Arabidopsis thaliana: one gene and its partners. The protein of the gene in region 1 interacts with the protein of each later gene in a pairwise test. Each region holds a gene or a part of one and is shown on either strand. Other genes may lie near its edges.

Region 1 (5,076 bases):
TCCAGTCTCCAATAACGGGCTATATATGATTTAACTAATGGATTCAAATACGAAATCTTGAATCCACATGGTAGACTAACCTATGCCAGATAACGATTATGAGACAAAGTCGCTTATGCACTGTGTTTTTCCTTATGTATATGAATTTCTTTTGTTAATGAAATTTATTTGTATAAGGTAAATAAGATATGAAATTCTGTTAATGAACTTCTTGTTTACATCAAATTAAAAGATGATATTTTATATGTAAAAAGCTGACGTGTAAGCTGATCCGAGAAAACCAAGAAAGATAATGTAGAGCATTGAAGTGTATATGTGAAATTTTTAACACGTTCTCCTTAAAATAATGCTTTTATCCGTCTATTTCAAACAAAATTCTAATATTGGACCAAAAATTATATATCGAACAACACATCTTTCTCAAGTTAGCTAAACTTTAATACCATGTTAAAATCTATGGACTTTCAACTCAAGAATTGGTCCATACTATAACTTAGTTGGTCCATATTATATTATATATATTAAATGTTGGTTTATTTTTAACTTGTTCATTCGGTTAAGAATTTTTATTGGATATTTGATAATAAACTAAATTTGTAAAAAAAAACTGTTTCTTTAAGAGATCATTTTAATCAAATACTAAAGATCTTTTTTTACTTCAGTTCAGAACAAAGCGTTTGATCTAATCCATTTTAAACATCCCCGACAGTGATAATTACTAAAGATCATAAATGCAAATTATAACATTCTATTGATGATAAAGGAAAGAAAAACCCCACAAGAAATGTAAGAAAAAATGGCACTAATATATCAGCCAGATATTATATATAGAAAAGTCTCAATCCAAAGCTCCCACATAGTCTTCTTCATCACTATCATCATCATCATCATCCTCATGAACAATGATGTCTCATCCACCATTTTTTTTCCTTTCTTCAAAAACCTTTCTTAGGTAATTAATAATTTTTTAGAAAAAAAAAAGAAGAGAAAACACTAAGAAAAAAAGCAGACACAAAAGTCATAAAACACAACGGCACACCATTGTTCCCTTTTAATTGGGTAATGGCATTTGTAATTATTAGCTGGAGAGTGATTTGTCCAAAGTAGTCAAACATTGTCCGTTGACTGATGGAGTAGTGGTGTTGTGATGGACGACTTGATGGAGTTGCGAGAAACAGGTGCACGTTCAATACCATGCTCCGCGGAGGACTGGATCGCTGCCTTCTCAAGCGCTGCAAATTTCCTCTCTTCGCTCTTACCGTACAATACGAAGTAAAGTCCCGCTATGATCAAGACCGCTCCAATAATCCTGCCATTAGAAATATGACATGTGGCACAACAAATTTTAAAATTATTCTTGTTTAGGACCTTGGATTTTATCAAGTATTTATATAAACCACTAATATTATTATAGTTTCATACCCGCCCAAATAAAATTCTTCGCCTAACGCAATAGAAGCCATGATCGCAACGACAAGAGTCTGAACAGGCTGGTAAACAGCAACGAAGACTGGACCCCCTCTGTCAATACACCAAATCTGAACCGCAAACGCGATTCCAGACGCTACGATTCCCTGAAGTTAAATCAATTCATTAGGACCAAATTGATTATTTTGAAACATTAGGGCCAAAAACGAATTAATTATAACAGATGAAAGAAAAACTAACGGCGTAGAGGATGGTGAAAAGCTCCCAACCGGAGTGAAAAACCCAAGCCTGAGAATCTCTTTCACAGAAAGCAGCAATGATCAAGAACTGAATGATTCCGAAGAAACAAGTGTAAGACGTAACCGAGAGCCTCGCTGGATAAGACTTAAGAACCGGAGCTTGGAAAACAAGCCAGCCTGACCACGAGAGACAGTGACCGATTAGGTAGATGCAACCAAGGGTCCAGTTTTTAGGCGCGGCGTTTCCTAGCGGCGCTAAGACGGCGGAGTTTGTGGTGAGTAGATGAGCGTGGAGGTGGCTAGCCGGAGTGTAGATGGTTGGACCTTTATAGAGGGTGATGACGGAAGCTCCGGCGACACAAAGAGCTGTTCCTAAGATTTTGGAGATACCGTCTCTTCTGTTTATTCTTACTTTCTCAATCCTGAATTATTGTTTTTTTCACATACAGTACATAAACAGTATGTTACATTGTTGTTACTACTATGATTATCACTATTTTGTAAGCAAATGGAAACGGCATTAAATATTGTCTACGTGTATTATTATCCGTTTCTTTTACGTTGAAAAGTCAAATGGACATTATTAAAGTGGTTCTTGTATATCCAAGCTGTCCAAAATATTGTTATTTATTTTTATAAATCAAAAGAGAATGAAAATGGAGAGATGTGTAGAGTAAGTGCCTGAGAAGAGCAGCCATGAGAAAGGTAATGGCGGGAACAGAGTTTTGCATGGAGGAAGCAAATGTTGGTGAAGTGTTGTCCAGTCCCAACAAGTAAAATCCTTGGTTCGCTGTTATTCTGTCGTGTAATAATTCATTAACTAATTATCCAAATTTGTTATTGAAAAGATCAGAGTGAAGGATATAAATATATACCCTATGAGTGCCAAAAAGAAGAACTGGATGAGAAAGTTGAGAGTAATCGCTGGTCTCTCCTTCCTAAATTAACACAATTAAGTTTGGTAATTAAATAACTAGCAACTAGAGAAAAAATAGGGTTTTCAAATAAAGAAGTGAAGTGAAAATAGAAGGTTACTTTTCAAGGAAGTAAGCGAAGGGAAGGAGAAGAAGCAAGGCGATGATGTTACGATAAACAGGGAAGACGAGTTTGCTGATTCCCATGTTAAGAGCAGCTCGAGACACCACGTGGAATCCGGCGTAACCGAATTGCAACGTCAGCATCGCTATGTGAAGCTGAAGCTTCTCCGGAACTCCCCATAAGGATCTCCGATTATCGGTGTTATCCGCCATTGGATCGAGCTTAACAATCGATCAACGAAGGAAAAAGGCTGTGTGTGTGTGTGTTTGTGTGTGTTGATTGAGGAAAAGAGTGAAGTTGCGGAGATATAAATATAGGTAGATAGCAATCTCATTCCCCTCTTTGCTTGTGGGAACCACCATACTGAGATTTCTAATATGGTATCTATTAAACCTAATTATAACAATGTGAAATATTGAAATATATATATATATATATATATATGGATTTAGGTATATTAATGAGTTTTTGTTGTTTCCTATCATTTGATGTACACACCAAATATTGTTACTTTGGTCTACTGGCAGCATTCACTCCTTGATTATGATTTTTGAATTGGGAAATAAAATTTTAATTTATATTATTATTTCTCTATTGGGTTATATCAAGTATGATAATAATATAGGTTACTTTTTGTTTTACTATTATTACGTTCATTATTATTTTGTTTACAAAGCACACACACAACATAAATATATTTCAGGGAAAATCGCAAAAGGAGAAAGAAAAACTCAACGTATGATAGTTTTACCTAAGAAATATGATTTCTTTTGAGATATTAAAATAAACGATTGTGTTTTCGGATTTTCTTGGAAAAAAAAGACTCTTGAATTGAAAACTATCATACACTATTCTACTTAGCCTTATTGGAAACTATGACCACGTAAACAAAGTCGGGTTAAACTTATAATCAAACACGTTCACATGCACTTACCGTTACCAAAACGAGATAATAAAGTGACAACGTCTCACTAAGTCACAACTTCACAAACATTTTGTGGATGTTGGTACATCTCATATGTTTTAAAATCAAAATTTGAAGACATTCCCAAAATTTTGGACACTATATTTAACATTTATCATCAGCTTTTGTTTCACAACATGATACATTGTTAGTTAATTATATGCTTTCAAAACAACCAACTTTTCATTTATTGATTTCTAACAAGAAGAAACGACTATGAAGCTGTTGGTTAAATCTAAATCGATTAAACAAAGGGCCCGCAAATTTTTAACTGTGTACTATAGTGTTTTTAGAAAATAAAGAAGAGAGCTTAAAAATGTGTAAAAGGGCAAAGCCTGTCTCCCACATTCTTTTATTTTTCTGCTGTTTAGCTGACATGACAACCCTCACGCCACTACTCATTAACGCAACCATCATTATGATTCTTAATTTTTTGTATATCTAAAATCATTTAATTCTGAAAATCAAAAAGGTAAAAATAACAATAGAAAAAGCACAAAATATATCATTATTTACGACTCTATTCCTCAATTTGCACTCACTATCGTAGACATTATAATGGTTTTAGTTTGTCCTTTCCTTTGATATTTATTGAGCAGCATGGCATTGCTACTAATTATTACTTGTACAGTATAGTCTTCAGGAGAATAACACTCTTAATTATAAATGTACGACATTTCGTTTTAACATCTTTTATTTACTTTCTTTTTTGGTAAATATATTTCTTGATTTTATTTATGTTACATAATTAATTTTGTAGGGACGAGCCCCACGCGCACTGCCGAACCGTGAGACCCACAGTACCTCTTATTTCGCAGGCACACCCACACGATCAATATTTATGTACACGCTTACACCAATATTATTATCTGTATTTGTCCTCAATTATTTTAGTTTTATTTTTCTTGTTAATTTATTTTAGTTCTATTTTTTTGTGCTCATCGAATAGACGTGTGTAATTGTTTTCCAATAGTCAAATACATTTGTATCCCTATAGAATAGAATCATCGAAAATTTTATGGTTGCTTGCTTGTATATGCTTTCATTTTTCTCTTTCTTTTTGTCTTGTTATTTTTGGAGAGATCGACAATGTAAACCCAGAGAAACCAATTTAGTAAATTGTACACAGAAACATGTGCATATCCACGTGAAAACAAACCAAATATGTATTTTTCTTTCCTTCCACGAATGTATCACGACAAAAGAAATATCATGGCAAAAATTGTTCATGGAATATTATTTTGTCACAAATCTGTTTTAGATAAACTATATGCAGCAACATGTAAAACATAACAAAATATAACAATATGGAATTTTCATTACTTCATTATATTCCATTTCTATTACAAAAATCTTTTTTTTTTATGAACAATAACAAAGATATTTACCTTAACATTTTAATACATC
Region 2 (4,426 bases), 5.6 Mb from region 1:
CTTTTTGGTATGTTTTTTTCTAAACAATTTCAATTAAAATGTTTTGAAAATGTTCGGATTGAGTATATAATGACTCTGCGCAGATGAGAGTAAACAAGGAAGTTTGGACTGGAGAAAACGATGGGAGGTCATTGGAGGAATCGCGAGGGGATTACTTTACTTACATAGAGACTCAAGACTAAAGATCATTCACCGTGACCTAAAAGCTAGCAATATCTTGCTAGACACGGAAATGAATCCAAAGATCTCGGATTTCGGTATGGCTAGGATATTCAACTACCGACAAGACCATGCCAACACAATCCGAGTCGTCGGCACATAGTAACTTAACAAACCTCTTTATCTCCTCTAAATTAAACAATATCGAACTCTATCAATTTTTAATGATTTTGATGTTCAACAAGTGTAGTGGTTATATGGCTCCGGAGTATGCAATGGAAGGGATATTCTCAGAGAAATCAGATGTGTATAGCTTTGGAGTGTTGATATTGGAGATTGTGAGTGGAAGAAAAAACGTTAGCTTTCGAGGGACTGATCATGGAAGTCTCATTGGTTATGTACGTCTCTTTTCTTTAACCATAAATTTTCAGGTCTAACTAAAATATTCGAATATTTGTTACTAATGAATGTTCTAAACGGAAAAAAAAAAATAAGGCGTGGCATTTATGGAGCCAAGGAAAGACAAAAGAGATGATAGATCCAATTGTGAAGGACACTAGAGACGTGACGGAAGCGATGAGATGCATCCACGTGGGTATGTTGTGTACACAAGACTCGGTCATTCACAGACCAAACATGGGTTCGGTTTTGTTGATGTTGGAGAGTCAAACCAGTCAACTTCCACCCCCGAGACAGCCGACCTTCCACTCGTTCTTGAACTCTGGTGACATTGAACTCAACTTTGACGGTCACGATGTTGCCTCCGTTAACGATGTTACTTTCACAACAATTGTTGGTAGATGACTCACTGACCAGAAGTTATTTTTCCCCAAAACGCTCTTTGACTATCCATTTGGTCTCGAACTCTTTTCTCCATAGTTTTCAACTTTTTATACATAATTAAATTCTTCGTTGAAAATATTATAATACATGTACATTGACGATGAAAAACTAATCGGATTTGTACACAACATACTTTTAGCAACAAAAGAGAAGAAGCTCAACAACATACTTAATTGTGAAGAAAAAAGCGTTGTTGTTCGAACATGAATTGGAGAAGTTGGAATATGGACAAAGGTAGTGGCATCGAAGGAGGAATTTCCAGTGATTTGAGATTTAATGAGTTTTAAGATGATTTTGTTGAATTTTAGGGAATTAGAAAATTTGTTATTAAATTTATAAAAATCTTCCCTTAAATCATATGATTTGGACATTTGTATTCTTAATTTTTTTTTTTTTGACATCTCACATATTTCTTTTTTAAAAAACTGTAAAACCATAAAAAAAAAAAAATTATTTACGGTTTCTATATGATTATAGCTTTTATAAAACTAAAAACCGTAAAACCAAAAAACCGAAGTGAAACCAAACCGAAAAACGGTATGCCCATCCCTAGGGCTAGTAATGAAATCAACACTCTTGAAGTGGAGTTATCTACATTTTTATGTTTGATTATAAATTATATTTTTCCACCCATTTGTAAAAATCCTATTTAAAAGAGAAAATTTTCATTTATAACTAAGTTCTCATTTGTGAACAATGTTGGTTGATTTGATTCTACATTTTAAAATTAATAATCCAATAACACTTGAGTTTTACAAACTTTTTAAATTCATGTTTGAATAACACAAGATTTTAATACAAATCACACCAAAACCTTTATTCAAGATTTTATTTTACCTATCTCTCCTAGTAAACATAACCAAAAAAGTGGTAATAACTCTTGCTGAAAAAAACAAATGGTAATAATTAGGAACCGTTAGATTAGATTCATATCGGACGGTAAAGGCTGTGATACCATCACCGACTTACATGAGAACGAAACACTGGAAAACTCAATTCCCCAATTTCTCCAATCTGAGAAAATAGGGTTTCCGATTTGGATCCTTAATTCAGACACCTGACTCGTCTTCTCATCCTACCCCCAATTCAATATTCGTCGCCAATATGCCGCAAAGACACTCGAAGAACAACAATGATCTTGCGTATTTCACTTACGACGAGAAGAAGAAGTTAGGTTATGGAACTCAGAGAGAGAGATTGGGGAGAGACTCGATCAAACCCTTTGATGCTTGTTCTCTCTGCTTGAAGCCTTTCATTGATCCGATGTGTTGCCATAAGGGTCATGTCTTTTGCAGAGAGTGTATACTTGAATGTTTCCTTGCTCAGAAGAAAGATATCCAAAGGTATAAACTTTTTGGAGTTTTCTTTCAAAAGTTTGGAACTTTAAGTTCCTTTGTTATGTATTTATGAAACACTTTGGATTTGTGATTGAAGTTTCTAGCTTTAGTATCTATATAGGATTGTTGAATTCCTCATGAATCTGGTGTGAATTGGATGATTGAGGTTCTTAGATCAAGTCATGGATTAGATCAAGTCTCTTTAGCATCACTCTGATAACAAAGATCTGATATTTAATGCTTGAATAGTGTTTGTTTAAAGGAGTACTGGTTTTGTTACTACTAGTCCCACAGTTTTTGAGAAGGAGAAGCTGGTAACTTTACTTGAGTTTTGGCATGAAAGCTTGGATAAACGTATGGAGTGATAACTAAAGTAATGTTAGAGTTGATTTTGATGCTTCTGTTTTGGGTTTAATGAGTACGGGTCTCAGGGTTAGCCTATGGTTGCATATGATTGTTTGAGTTTGTATATAAATAACCACCGGTGTAGAAACTGTTGGAGCTGACTCTCCTCACTTGTTAGGACCTGTTGGGAATTTTAAAATTACATATTTTAAAAAGATTTTGTGTCTGATTTATCTTTGCTCTGTATATTTAAGATACTGATATGTAGTGCTGAGATGTCTATAGGAGGCTTGCTGCACATTCGTCTCAAAAGAAGCAAGATAAGGATGAAGAAGAAGAGAGGCTAATGTTACAAAAGGCGAGAGAGCTCGACGAATTTGATCAGCAAAACCATAGTGCAATGCCTCGAAACAGTGACAAGAATCACAACGAAGATAAGAATGGTTTTCATGGGGCAAACAGTGTGAAGACGACTTCCTTTGAAGAAGAAGCGCTTAGGACAATGAAAGCCTTCTGGCTCCCATCAGCTACACCAGCAGCTTCGGTCAGAGTAGATGCTCCAGAAACTCACACAGTCTGTCCAGAGGGCAAAGAGAAGCTCAAGCTTAAGAACCTCTTTGCAATTCGTTTCACAGAAGACAACAGCGAAGAGGAAGAGACCAAGACAAAATCAGCATCTTCAAGCTCTTATGATAAATCCTACATCTGCCCGAGCTGCAAAGTCACTCTCACCAACACAATGTCCCTCGTGGCACTTAGCTCATGCGGACATGTTTTCTGCAAGAAGTGTGCTGAGAAGTTTATGCCCGTCGACAAAGTCTGTCTTGTGTGTGACAAACCTTGCAAGGATAGGAACTTGGTTGGGTTAAAGAAAGGAGGCACGGGTTTCGCTGAGCACGACGATCATCTTGAGGCTAAGGAGTACAAGCATTTGGGTAGTGGATCTGGTTTGGGGCTTGTGAGGCCGGTTAAGACATGATGTAACCACATCAAATGTTCTGTTCCAGTTACAGAAAATATCCTTGATTTTGTAATACTTATGGCTTGTATCCTTTGCTACAACTAAGAGACGCTGCTTTCTCCATTTTGGCTCTTGGTTTGTCCTTTTGATCGGATCCTATTTGTGTTTCTTCCCTACGGAGATCAAATGGAAATTTAACATTTAAGTAATTGATCAATTCAAATATTCTTCTTTTAGGCTATGAACATGCAGAGATAGAAATGATCAATGAGCTGTTCAAAATATTGGCCCATAAATTATCTCAAACATAAGACAGGTTGTTACGATCTCAGTTTATAATGTCCATCCCCGTATTATTATTTGTTTCAATTTCTCTTGTAGTTGTGGCTGATACGTACGTTTAGGATCACAGAATATCACAAGGAAGCTCCAGGTTAGTAAATTTACATAATGTGCTTAGCTTTCATCAATGTAAATTAAAATTGATTTGGATTATGATGGGTGAATATATGGACTAGGGTAAGTTTAAAGTAGTGGTGGTATGTTGTATCCTAGGAATAAGAAAACTTGTAGCACTAGCATGGAACACAATCCTCACCATTTTTGATTATTAGTACCAAGTCTTGCATGTAAGTCTCATTTTGCATAAATTTTTATAGAAGTGTAAAAAACCAAATTGTCTGACTATATATATTTTTCATACAAATATTCTTCTCATATATATTTACTTGGTATTTAAACATTTTATTTGTTTGTTCATGTTAACGTTTAATTTTCAATA
Region 3 (4,631 bases), on another chromosome or scaffold:
CGTAGCTAATTACTGAGGTTAACAAATCCCTGTTTTAACTTTTGACGTGCCTATCAAATTTATAAGTTGTGTTTATTAAGCCTCCTGTAGTAATTTGATTCTATTCTACATGTACCAAGTAATTCATTAGGGGATAAGATTAAAAAGATTTTCTCTTCTAATTGAGTTTTTTTTTTTTTTTTTTTTTTTTTTTTTTTTTTTTTTTTAATTTGTGGCCGAACACGTTAGTATGTGAGTAACGGAGAAAACAAAGGACACAACAACAACAACCATGATAAGACAGGAAATGCTTGACACATGCATCTCACACCTTGACACATTTCCATCCCCTCTCCTAGTAATGCTCTTCTACGGCAACCAAACACAGAGAAAAATAAAACAAGTGGTATGTCTATCATATAAGCATTTGGCGGGAGCGATCACAAGGGCAAGAGGAGGACGGGGCAGGGGATGAACTCAGCGAGTAGATTGGCGTCAATGTACTTAGAGTGGATGGCTTCCATGCTCATCACCACCAGCTCCATCTTCAGCTCATCTGCCACCTCTCCTATTATGGCCGTCGCTTTTTTCCCTTCCCCAAGCCTCTCCAACAGCTTGAACTCCTCGAACCCACCTGCAACCACCACATTATAGTTAACCTTTCTTCAATAAGGGATTCCAACACTATAGTTTACCTACAATTTCCTACAAGTAATTCCTCAATTTTACCTTCAGACAAATGCCACCGGATGTTGGATACTTGAGTCTCATGCTCCGAAGATGATTCTCTCTTTTCTTCGTCAATGACTGAATCAACAACGGTGGTCACAGATGATCAACACGGCTATATAATTCATATGATACATAAGGGGATATTAATGCAACACTAATTGTTCTTACCTACAACTGTGATATCAGCTCCATACTTCTTTGCCAAGCTGGTTGTTGTAGCAGCAGCCTATCAAATTAAGTGTAATCAGCTTTTTTGTTTGGTGTCAACATGTTCTCAAAAAGATAACAAGCTAAACAATAACCTGTCTGGTGCCTTCAGAAAGATAAGGATTCCGATCAATCACCGGCAGGAGAAGATGCTTCACATTACTGAATGCGTCTCCCACTCCCACTGGACTTGGACTAGCTTCTGCTTCTTTTGCCTGCGCCTTTACTCGACCTAAGCTAACCACAAACTAATCATTGTTGGCTCATCAACAAACTAACCATATCAACAACTACTCATTACGATTGTGCTAATTTGAATCACTCCCCTCTTCGTTGTCCCAAACTATATTAAAATTCAAACTGGAAATGCGACTGTACCCAACAAAGGTAGAATTGGACTATTACGTTTAGGAGAAGCAACTCGTATTCCAAATAAACAGAGAAAAAGAAGAGAAGATACCTTTGAGAGCGACACTGCGTAGGGAGAGAAGCTGCTGGCGAGGTTTAGATCGAAGAGAAGAAAGAGGGTAGAGCGCAGAGGAAGAAGAAGAAGAAGAAGGAAGTGTTGCTTGCTTGGAGGCCGCATCGAGAACAGAAACGGCGGCTATGGAGTGAGCAGATGCCATTGAAGTTGCGACGGAGTTCAGCAACTATCGCGACGATTCCAGAAAACAAACTTTTTTTTTGTTCTCTTATTTTGGTTCTGCCCACGGCTTGGACTAGAGTATCGGTGAGGGGCTTGAATTCTTCTTATAAGGCCGAAGCTATATATTAAATTTATTAACGGGCCATATATTGAAAAATATCAAATAGAAAGGGCCCATATAATCAAAGCCCAATAAGGGGATGCATTGGTCAAAGGGTTTGAAACTTTGAATTGAATAGAGTTAACAATGGTGGTGCAAGGCAAGAAGGAAATAATAATAATGAGAACAGCTATTGTATGTTTGTAAATCCCACATGGGAGGAGTTAAGGAGTGCACGTGCACACGTATGTGTGTCTTCTTGTCCTTTCTTTGATGGTCAAATATAGAAGAAGAGTTATTTGAGAGAGAGAGAGAGAGGCTCTGGAAATCTTGTGATCCATAAATTGTCTCTCTTCTTTTCCTCTGTTCTCATATACAAGGAAAAGGGCTTCCTCTGTTCTGTTCCTAATAAATATCTGAAATCAAAAACAGAGAGAGTCTTTTCTTTTTTTCTTTCACTCTATCTCTCTCCACACATGTTACTTACAACTTAATAGTTTCTCTATATCTCCTTGAGATCTCCATCCAGCTGTTGCTTTTTTTACTAAACAAAACTCCTCTTTGTGTGAGTGAATGAATGGAAGTTTCCGACTCTCTCTTCTTTTGTTTTTTCAACATACTTCATTCATTCATTTTAGCATAACAATCGGTGGTTGGGGATGATATGAGATGAGGCCCGATGTTATCCCTTTTCTTCAACTTTTTGACCTCTTGTCTCTGGCCCTCTTCTTCCACCACTTCCCACACTTATTCTGATTCCAAAGGCAAACAAGACGGCCTTCTCTGGTACAAAGACTCTGCTCACCACCTTTTTGGTGATTTCTCCATGGCCGTTGTCCAGGCCAACAACCTCCTCGAGGATCAGAGCCAGGTCGAATCCGGTCCTTTGACCACCCTCTCTTCTTCTGGTCCCTATGGAACCTTTGTTGGCGTCTATGACGGCCACGGAGGCCCTGAGACCTCCCGTTTTGTCAACGATCATCTCTTTCACCATCTCAAGAGTAACTACTTGTTGTTACTACTCACCACTGAATTTTATTTAGCTAGGGAACCATTGGAACTGAACATTCATGTCTGCAGGATTCGCAGCGGAGCAGGATTCCATGTCTGTGGATGTGATAAGAAAGGCCTATGAGGCAACCGAAGAAGGGTTTCTAGGGGTGGTGGCCAAGCAGTGGGCAGTGAAGCCACATATAGCAGCGGTTGGCTCTTGTTGCCTGATCGGTGTGGTCTGCGATGGGAAGCTTTACGTAGCTAACGTTGGGGACTCCCGTGCGGTTTTGGGAAAGGTCATCAAGGCCACAGGTGAGGTTAATGCGCTTCAGCTCTCAGCTGAGCATAACGTGAGCATAGAGTCTGTGAGGCAGGAAATGCACTCCTTACACCCTGATGACTCCCATATTGTCGTCTTAAAACACAATGTCTGGCGTGTTAAGGGCATTATTCAGGTGCCGCTCTCTACAAAGAGATCTTCTTATGCTATAAAATCTGAGCCAATATTATTATGTCATGTTCCTTCACTGAGTTGGATAAGCTATTATTGTTGGCCACTTGTCAAATCTTGAAAGCTTAGTTGTCTGTGTGTTTGCAGGTATCACGATCCATAGGAGACGTGTATCTTAAGAAATCGGAGTTCAACAAGGAACCTTTGTACACAAAGTACCGATTGCGGGAGCCAATGAAAAGACCTATCTTGAGTTGGGAACCGTCGATAACCGTGCATGATCTCCAACCAGACGATCAGTTTCTGATATTTGCATCAGACGGACTTTGGGAGCAGCTTAGCAACCAAGAGGCTGTTGAAATCGTTCAGAACCACCCAAGAAACGTATGAGACACTCTCAGTTTCTAAACATATATAGATGATTTTTTCTAAAGAGTAAATGTGAGAATGCTGATGCAGGGGATAGCGAGGAGACTGGTGAAAGCTGCGCTGCAGGAGGCAGCAAAGAAAAGAGAGATGAGATATTCTGATCTCAACAAGATTGAGAGAGGAGTCAGGAGGCATTTCCATGACGACATCACTGTGGTCGTCCTCTTCCTGGACACCAATCTGCTCAGCAGAGCCTCCTCTCTTAAAACCCCTTCTGTTTCTATCCGTGGTGGTGGTATCACTTTACCTAAGAAACTTTAAAACCAGGCTCCATCCATCTTCTAGTTATATTTATCCAACCAAAGATATGTGTTTTTTTTTTCTTTCTTTATGTTTTTTTGTCTTTTTGGGTTCACTCTTCCTGGTATAAGAAATGTATAATTTAAAACTGAAGCTATTGACATGTTGGATCTCATGCCAAATATTTTTGTACTCGGACTAGTTCATGTAAAATGTATTATCTCTCTTCTTAGTTCTTAAGAGTAGAGCATTGTTTTCGACGACAAGGATATGTATGTATATATGCTTTTTCATTTGGGATTTAGTCTATGCAAAACCGATCCCAAACTTTCTAAAATTGGGAAGTGCAGCATGTCCTTTTTGAATGATGAAGCCAAGAATAAGTAGCATAAATAAACAGGATCTCCAAGAGATGAGTGAAGTTACAATGATTGGTGCATCAAAATCTGTGTAACGTGTAATCTAAAAAAAATCAAGGAAGACTACTAGTGTGTATATATGTGTGTGTGTGTATGCCTATACCTCATGTACAAAGAAGAGAAGAAAGAAGAGTTCAAAATCAATTCAAAGATGTCTTCTGCACAAGGGACAAGAAGCATGCCTGCGAAGCCATTTGTCGATGCATGGTAGGTGGAACATATGATGGCAGTGCGGCAAACTTCTAACTGTCTCTCCCACCTGAAAGTCCTGTTTCGTCACCTCAATTTTAATTAATTTTGTCTTTCAACCACTTGTCACCTAATAGAAACATCTAGAACCTCTCTCAACCTTTTGCAACAATATATAATGGTTTCTTCTAATCTACGTTCCGCGGAAGATGATGTTCAAAAGCAGAGGGGGGAAGTGAGACAAAC
Region 4 (3,697 bases), on another chromosome or scaffold:
TCCATCTGGTCGATAAACACTTGTCTTAACTGAATCTTTGGTTGGAAGCCATAAAAGAATCTGAGTTATCAAAGAATCTGGAAGTTCGCTGATTATATCGTTTCGCATTATGAGACGTAACCCTAAAAGCTTCTAAAACTACAATATCAAAAGGTGTTTTGCTCAGATTTCTCCAAATTCTAGGGTTTAAACAATCACAGGAAACGTAACGATCAAAGCAGGAATCAGAAGAACTCTCCGAATGAATAATAACGAATTGTTTTTTTTGTTTGTTTTTAATGTGAAGAACGAATTGCTTTTATATAGCAAATAAATTATGAATCCAAACCCTATTAAAATTTTCTTTAGTACAACTAGATAAATGGAAATTTCTTTTAGTTATTAATTAATAATATCTAAACTACAATTATTATATGTTGAAATTAAAATATTAATTCTTAAAGAAAAAAGACAAAAATATAATTTAACTGCGTAACTCTCTGTCCTGAGATTGAAACAAAACCAACAAAAGATGAAACAAGACCATGTGCTAACAAGCATCATCATCTGCATGTCAAACAAAGATAACTTGACATGTGGGAGAAAGCTTTGTTGATGTAAGAAGCTTCTTGTAGCTCTCGCTCTCTATAGAAGAAAAAAATGAGAAACGTAGAGTAAGTTTCTTGAGGACTGCTGAATTCTCAATAAAGTAATTTACTAGTTTAATCCCACTTTGCTCCATCATCATCAGTTTGTTAATGTGAACATACTCGAGAGTCGATATCAAACACTGAGGCACTTCGTGAAAGTCGATATTTTCTTCCTTAAATGCCCCATAGTCCTACGAAAAAATATGATTCAAACAATGTTCTGTAGCTAAATCACATATTTCAAGCAGATTCTTACAAAGCAGATGTCATAATATGTTCCAACAATATTCTTAGTTTGCCAAATTAAAGATCCATCAGATTCTTACCATGATTAGGTTTTTCAGATTTGGGCAGCTCTCAAGAAAGGTTGGCAATAGTTGTAACGATGTACCGAAGAACGAAGCCTGCAAATGATATAAGTTACGGAATTGGGGAATCCATCCTAGTTTGGAATAAGAATGTAGCTCCTGCAACAAAAAATACAAAAATTACATGTGAAGATATTTTTTTCATACAGAATTAAATACAATAAATTGTTAAATATACCTCTAGAATGCTCCCAGAAATGATCATATGCCTTACACTAGATATCACGGTTAAAAAATCACAGATAATAGCTCTCTTTCTTGGATCCTCTGCTTTCAAAAGACCGCCATACTCAAAACTAGATTTGGCTCTAATTTCGATACTAAACAAGGAACTCATGTTCTTTACCATAATCCTATCAAATCGACTCTCGTAAAATGTCATATACTTGAGTCGTGGAGCATCAATCTCAACTCAAAACTCTGTACCACTCCCATTGGTCGCAAAATATAAACGAAGGCTTTTCAGAGTCTGAGAGCTCACACGCAGAAACAGTATAACGTCCTGAGTCAAAATATCAAAAGGCTTAATCAGCTCAAGATCTTCAAGAACAGGACATCCTGAGATGAGCTTCTCCACAACCAAAGGGCCATCCTCACCGTAACAAATTTTCATCAGTTTCAAGATCTTGAGACAAGGTAGAGAAACAACAAAGTCTGGATTCTTCAACTCTACGTTATAAAGCTTCAAAGAGACCAATGTCTTGCTCTTGTAAATGTTTTGACGTATGAAATCAACTCTATTACAAGTATGCATATAAACATACAAATGTTGAATTCCACAATCAACCACTGTACCGATCAACTCCATGAATCGATCTCGATAACCATTGCATTCGAAATACCTTATCATGAACTTTTGCAGGCGTGACCTGCAGTTAGACTCCATAAATCTGTCCATAAACTTTATCAAGCCTTCTTCATGATGAGGATTTGTGAATTGAAGGCTGAATAAGTCAAGTCCAGGAACGTTTAACCAAAGATTTCTCCATCTCTTCGACGACACGCTTGTCTTAACAGAATCTTTGGTCCGAAGGTCTAAGAGTATCTGAGTTAGTAAAGAATCAGGCAATTCGTTGATATAATCGCACTCCTCCATCCCTAGATCCTGAACAACAACATCAACATCAAAATCGTGCGATGAGGAATGAAGAAATAACCGTCTCCGTCGATTTGATTTGACAGCAGATTATTGCCGGAGTTGGAGAAATCCTACTAGGCTTTGATTTGACGGCAGATTTGATTTGATTTGATTTGATAATTAGAAAGATGATCGTTAAATACTTGAATCGATCAGGTTCGAGAAATCCTACGAGGGGGTTTATCTTATTTTTGGGTTTAGGGCCAAAAGGGCCCTATAAAAAAAAACATAAACCAAAAGAGGACCAATGCAACTTACTTGCGGTTTACGAAACCTTATTGAAACCTGTACAATATATAATTTCGGCCAAAAATTGAAATAGTATAAGATATTAAGATACCTTGAGCAAAAGCCCATTATAGATGTAAATTCTTATTTTCTACTTCAACGACATACTTGTCCATGGTAGAGATATAGCACAGAACCGATTTTCGATGATGATCCAAAACAATAAAATGCATAGATAAATTGGCTTTTAACCATATGAATATTCCATAGTTTCAAAAATACAAAAAGACAATATTACCACCTGAGGTTTTAATTCCCAAGTTAAACCTAAACCACCTTGTCTATAAATGCAACTTTCTTAAGAATATAGAAACTGAGATTAAAGCAAGAAAAGTTGAATAATTTGACCTTTAAGCATTATAAGATCAAAACATGACACCCACGAGATCGTTTTGTTGATGTAAGAAGCTGCATGTAGATCTCTGACTCTTGGTTGGTCATGGGAGAATCTATGAAACTCAGAGTCAGTTTCTTGAGGACTGCTGAATTCTCAAGAAAGTATTTCACCAATTTAATCCCACTTTCCTCCCTCATAGTAAGTTGTTTAATCTCAACGTACTCCAGCGTCGAAATTAAACACCGAGGCAGATTGGTAAAGTCGATTTGCTCTGGCTCTGCTGAAATAGAATAGTCCTGCAAAGAAACAAGCTGAGTTTACACTATACTTCAACAAGGTTCTTTATTGTAAGCCAAATCACATATTCAAACACATTCTTACCAAGATGAGGTTTTTTAGATTTGGGCAGATTTCTAGGAAGGCGGGCAATAGTTGTAACAATGAGCTGGAGAACACAGCTTGCAAATGATATAAGTTATGGAATTTTGGAAGCTGTCCGATTTTGGAATAACGATAAAGCACCTGCAAGGATAATGAATATGATACATGTGAAAAATTAAAGTACATTTAATCAATGTGTTATATAATACATCAGAGACTTCAAATATATAGGTACGTACCTCCAGAGTAGGATGAGAGATGATCATATGTTTGACACTCGAAATACCGGTAAGAAAATCTCGGATAATATCTCTCTTAGTCAAGTCCTCCGGTTCCAAAGGACTGCCGAGGCCAAACTTGAGATTAAATTCAGTATCAAGGTCTATCTTGACCAAGGAACTCAAATTTTTTACAACTATTCTATCAGATTGACTATCTCTAAAACTCATGTACTTAAGTCCTGGTGCATCAATCTCGACCGAAAAATCGTTACTACCCATTCCCCAATCAAATGTTAAACGGAAGTTCTTCAAAGTTTGAGACATCACACGCAGAA

What was found.
Region 2: the proteins of WAT1 (region 1) and AT1G61620 interact in a protein complementation assay, tested with the Arabidopsis thaliana proteins (one large-scale study listed by BioGRID).
Region 3: the proteins of WAT1 (region 1) and AT5G66080 interact in a protein complementation assay, tested with the Arabidopsis thaliana proteins (one large-scale study listed by BioGRID).
Region 4: the proteins of WAT1 (region 1) and AT5G44960 interact in a protein complementation assay, tested with the Arabidopsis thaliana proteins (one large-scale study listed by BioGRID).

Annotation. Positions count from the first base shown.
Region 1 is NC_003070.9:28,337,175-28,342,250, forward strand, and holds WAT1 (Walls Are Thin 1), read right to left. Parts: upstream 3,102-5,076; 5' UTR 2,918-3,101; coding exon 2,703-2,917; intron 2,606-2,702; coding exon 2,543-2,605; intron 2,466-2,542; coding exon 2,349-2,465; intron 2,090-2,348; coding exon 1,669-2,089; intron 1,575-1,668; coding exon 1,423-1,574; intron 1,310-1,422; coding exon 1,108-1,309; 3' UTR 1,014-1,107; exon of another isoform or gene 608-1,013; 3' UTR 552-607; downstream 1-551. UniProt on the Arabidopsis thaliana protein: Required for secondary wall formation in fibers, especially in short days conditions. Promotes indole metabolism and transport (e.g. tryptophan, neoglucobrassicin and auxin (indole-3-acetic acid)). May prevent salicylic-acid (SA) accumulation.
Region 2 is NC_003070.9:22,735,547-22,739,972, forward strand, and holds AT1G61620 (phosphoinositide binding protein), read left to right. Parts: upstream 1-1,928; 5' UTR 1,929-2,106; coding exon 2,107-2,345; intron 2,346-2,969; coding exon 2,970-3,663; 3' UTR 3,664-3,897; downstream 3,898-4,426. Other genes in the region: AT1G61610 (S-locus lectin protein kinase family protein), read left to right, coding at 1-7, 84-321, 410-557, 655-963. UniProt on the Arabidopsis thaliana protein: RING-finger E3 ubiquitin-protein ligase that plays an major role in maintaining COP1 homeostasis in darkness. Negatively regulates COP1 protein accumulation by targeting COP1 for ubiquitination and subsequent proteasomal degradation in dark-grown seedlings.
Region 3 is NC_003076.8:26,422,744-26,427,374, reverse strand, and holds AT5G66080 (Protein phosphatase 2C family protein), read left to right. Parts: upstream 1-1,926; 5' UTR 1,927-2,343; coding exon 2,344-2,665; intron 2,666-2,721; exon of another isoform or gene 2,722-2,734; coding exon of another isoform or gene 2,735-2,744; coding exon 2,745-3,112; intron 3,113-3,255; coding exon 3,256-3,492; intron 3,493-3,567; coding exon 3,568-3,798; 3' UTR 3,799-4,131; downstream 4,132-4,631. Other genes in the region: AT5G66090 (cell wall integrity/stress response component), read right to left, coding at 420-613, 709-786, 880-937, 1,014-1,150, 1,379-1,544; AT5G66070 (RING/U-box superfamily protein), read right to left, coding at 4,342-4,464. UniProt on the Arabidopsis thaliana protein: May dephosphorylate and repress plasma membrane H(+)-ATPases (PM H(+)-ATPases, e.g. AHA1 and AHA2), thus influencing negatively plant growth and fitness.
Region 4 is NC_003076.8:18,152,248-18,155,944, reverse strand, and holds AT5G44960 (F-box/RNI-like/FBD-like domains-containing protein), read right to left. Parts: upstream 2,094-3,697; coding exon 1,479-2,093; intron 1,404-1,478; coding exon 1,176-1,403; intron 1,097-1,175; coding exon 956-1,096; intron 821-955; coding exon 554-820; downstream 1-553. Other genes in the region: AT5G44970 (Protein with RNI-like/FBD-like domain), read right to left, coding at 1-108; AT5G44950 (F-box/RNI-like/FBD-like domains-containing protein), read right to left, coding at 2,781-3,056, 3,142-3,282, 3,381-3,697.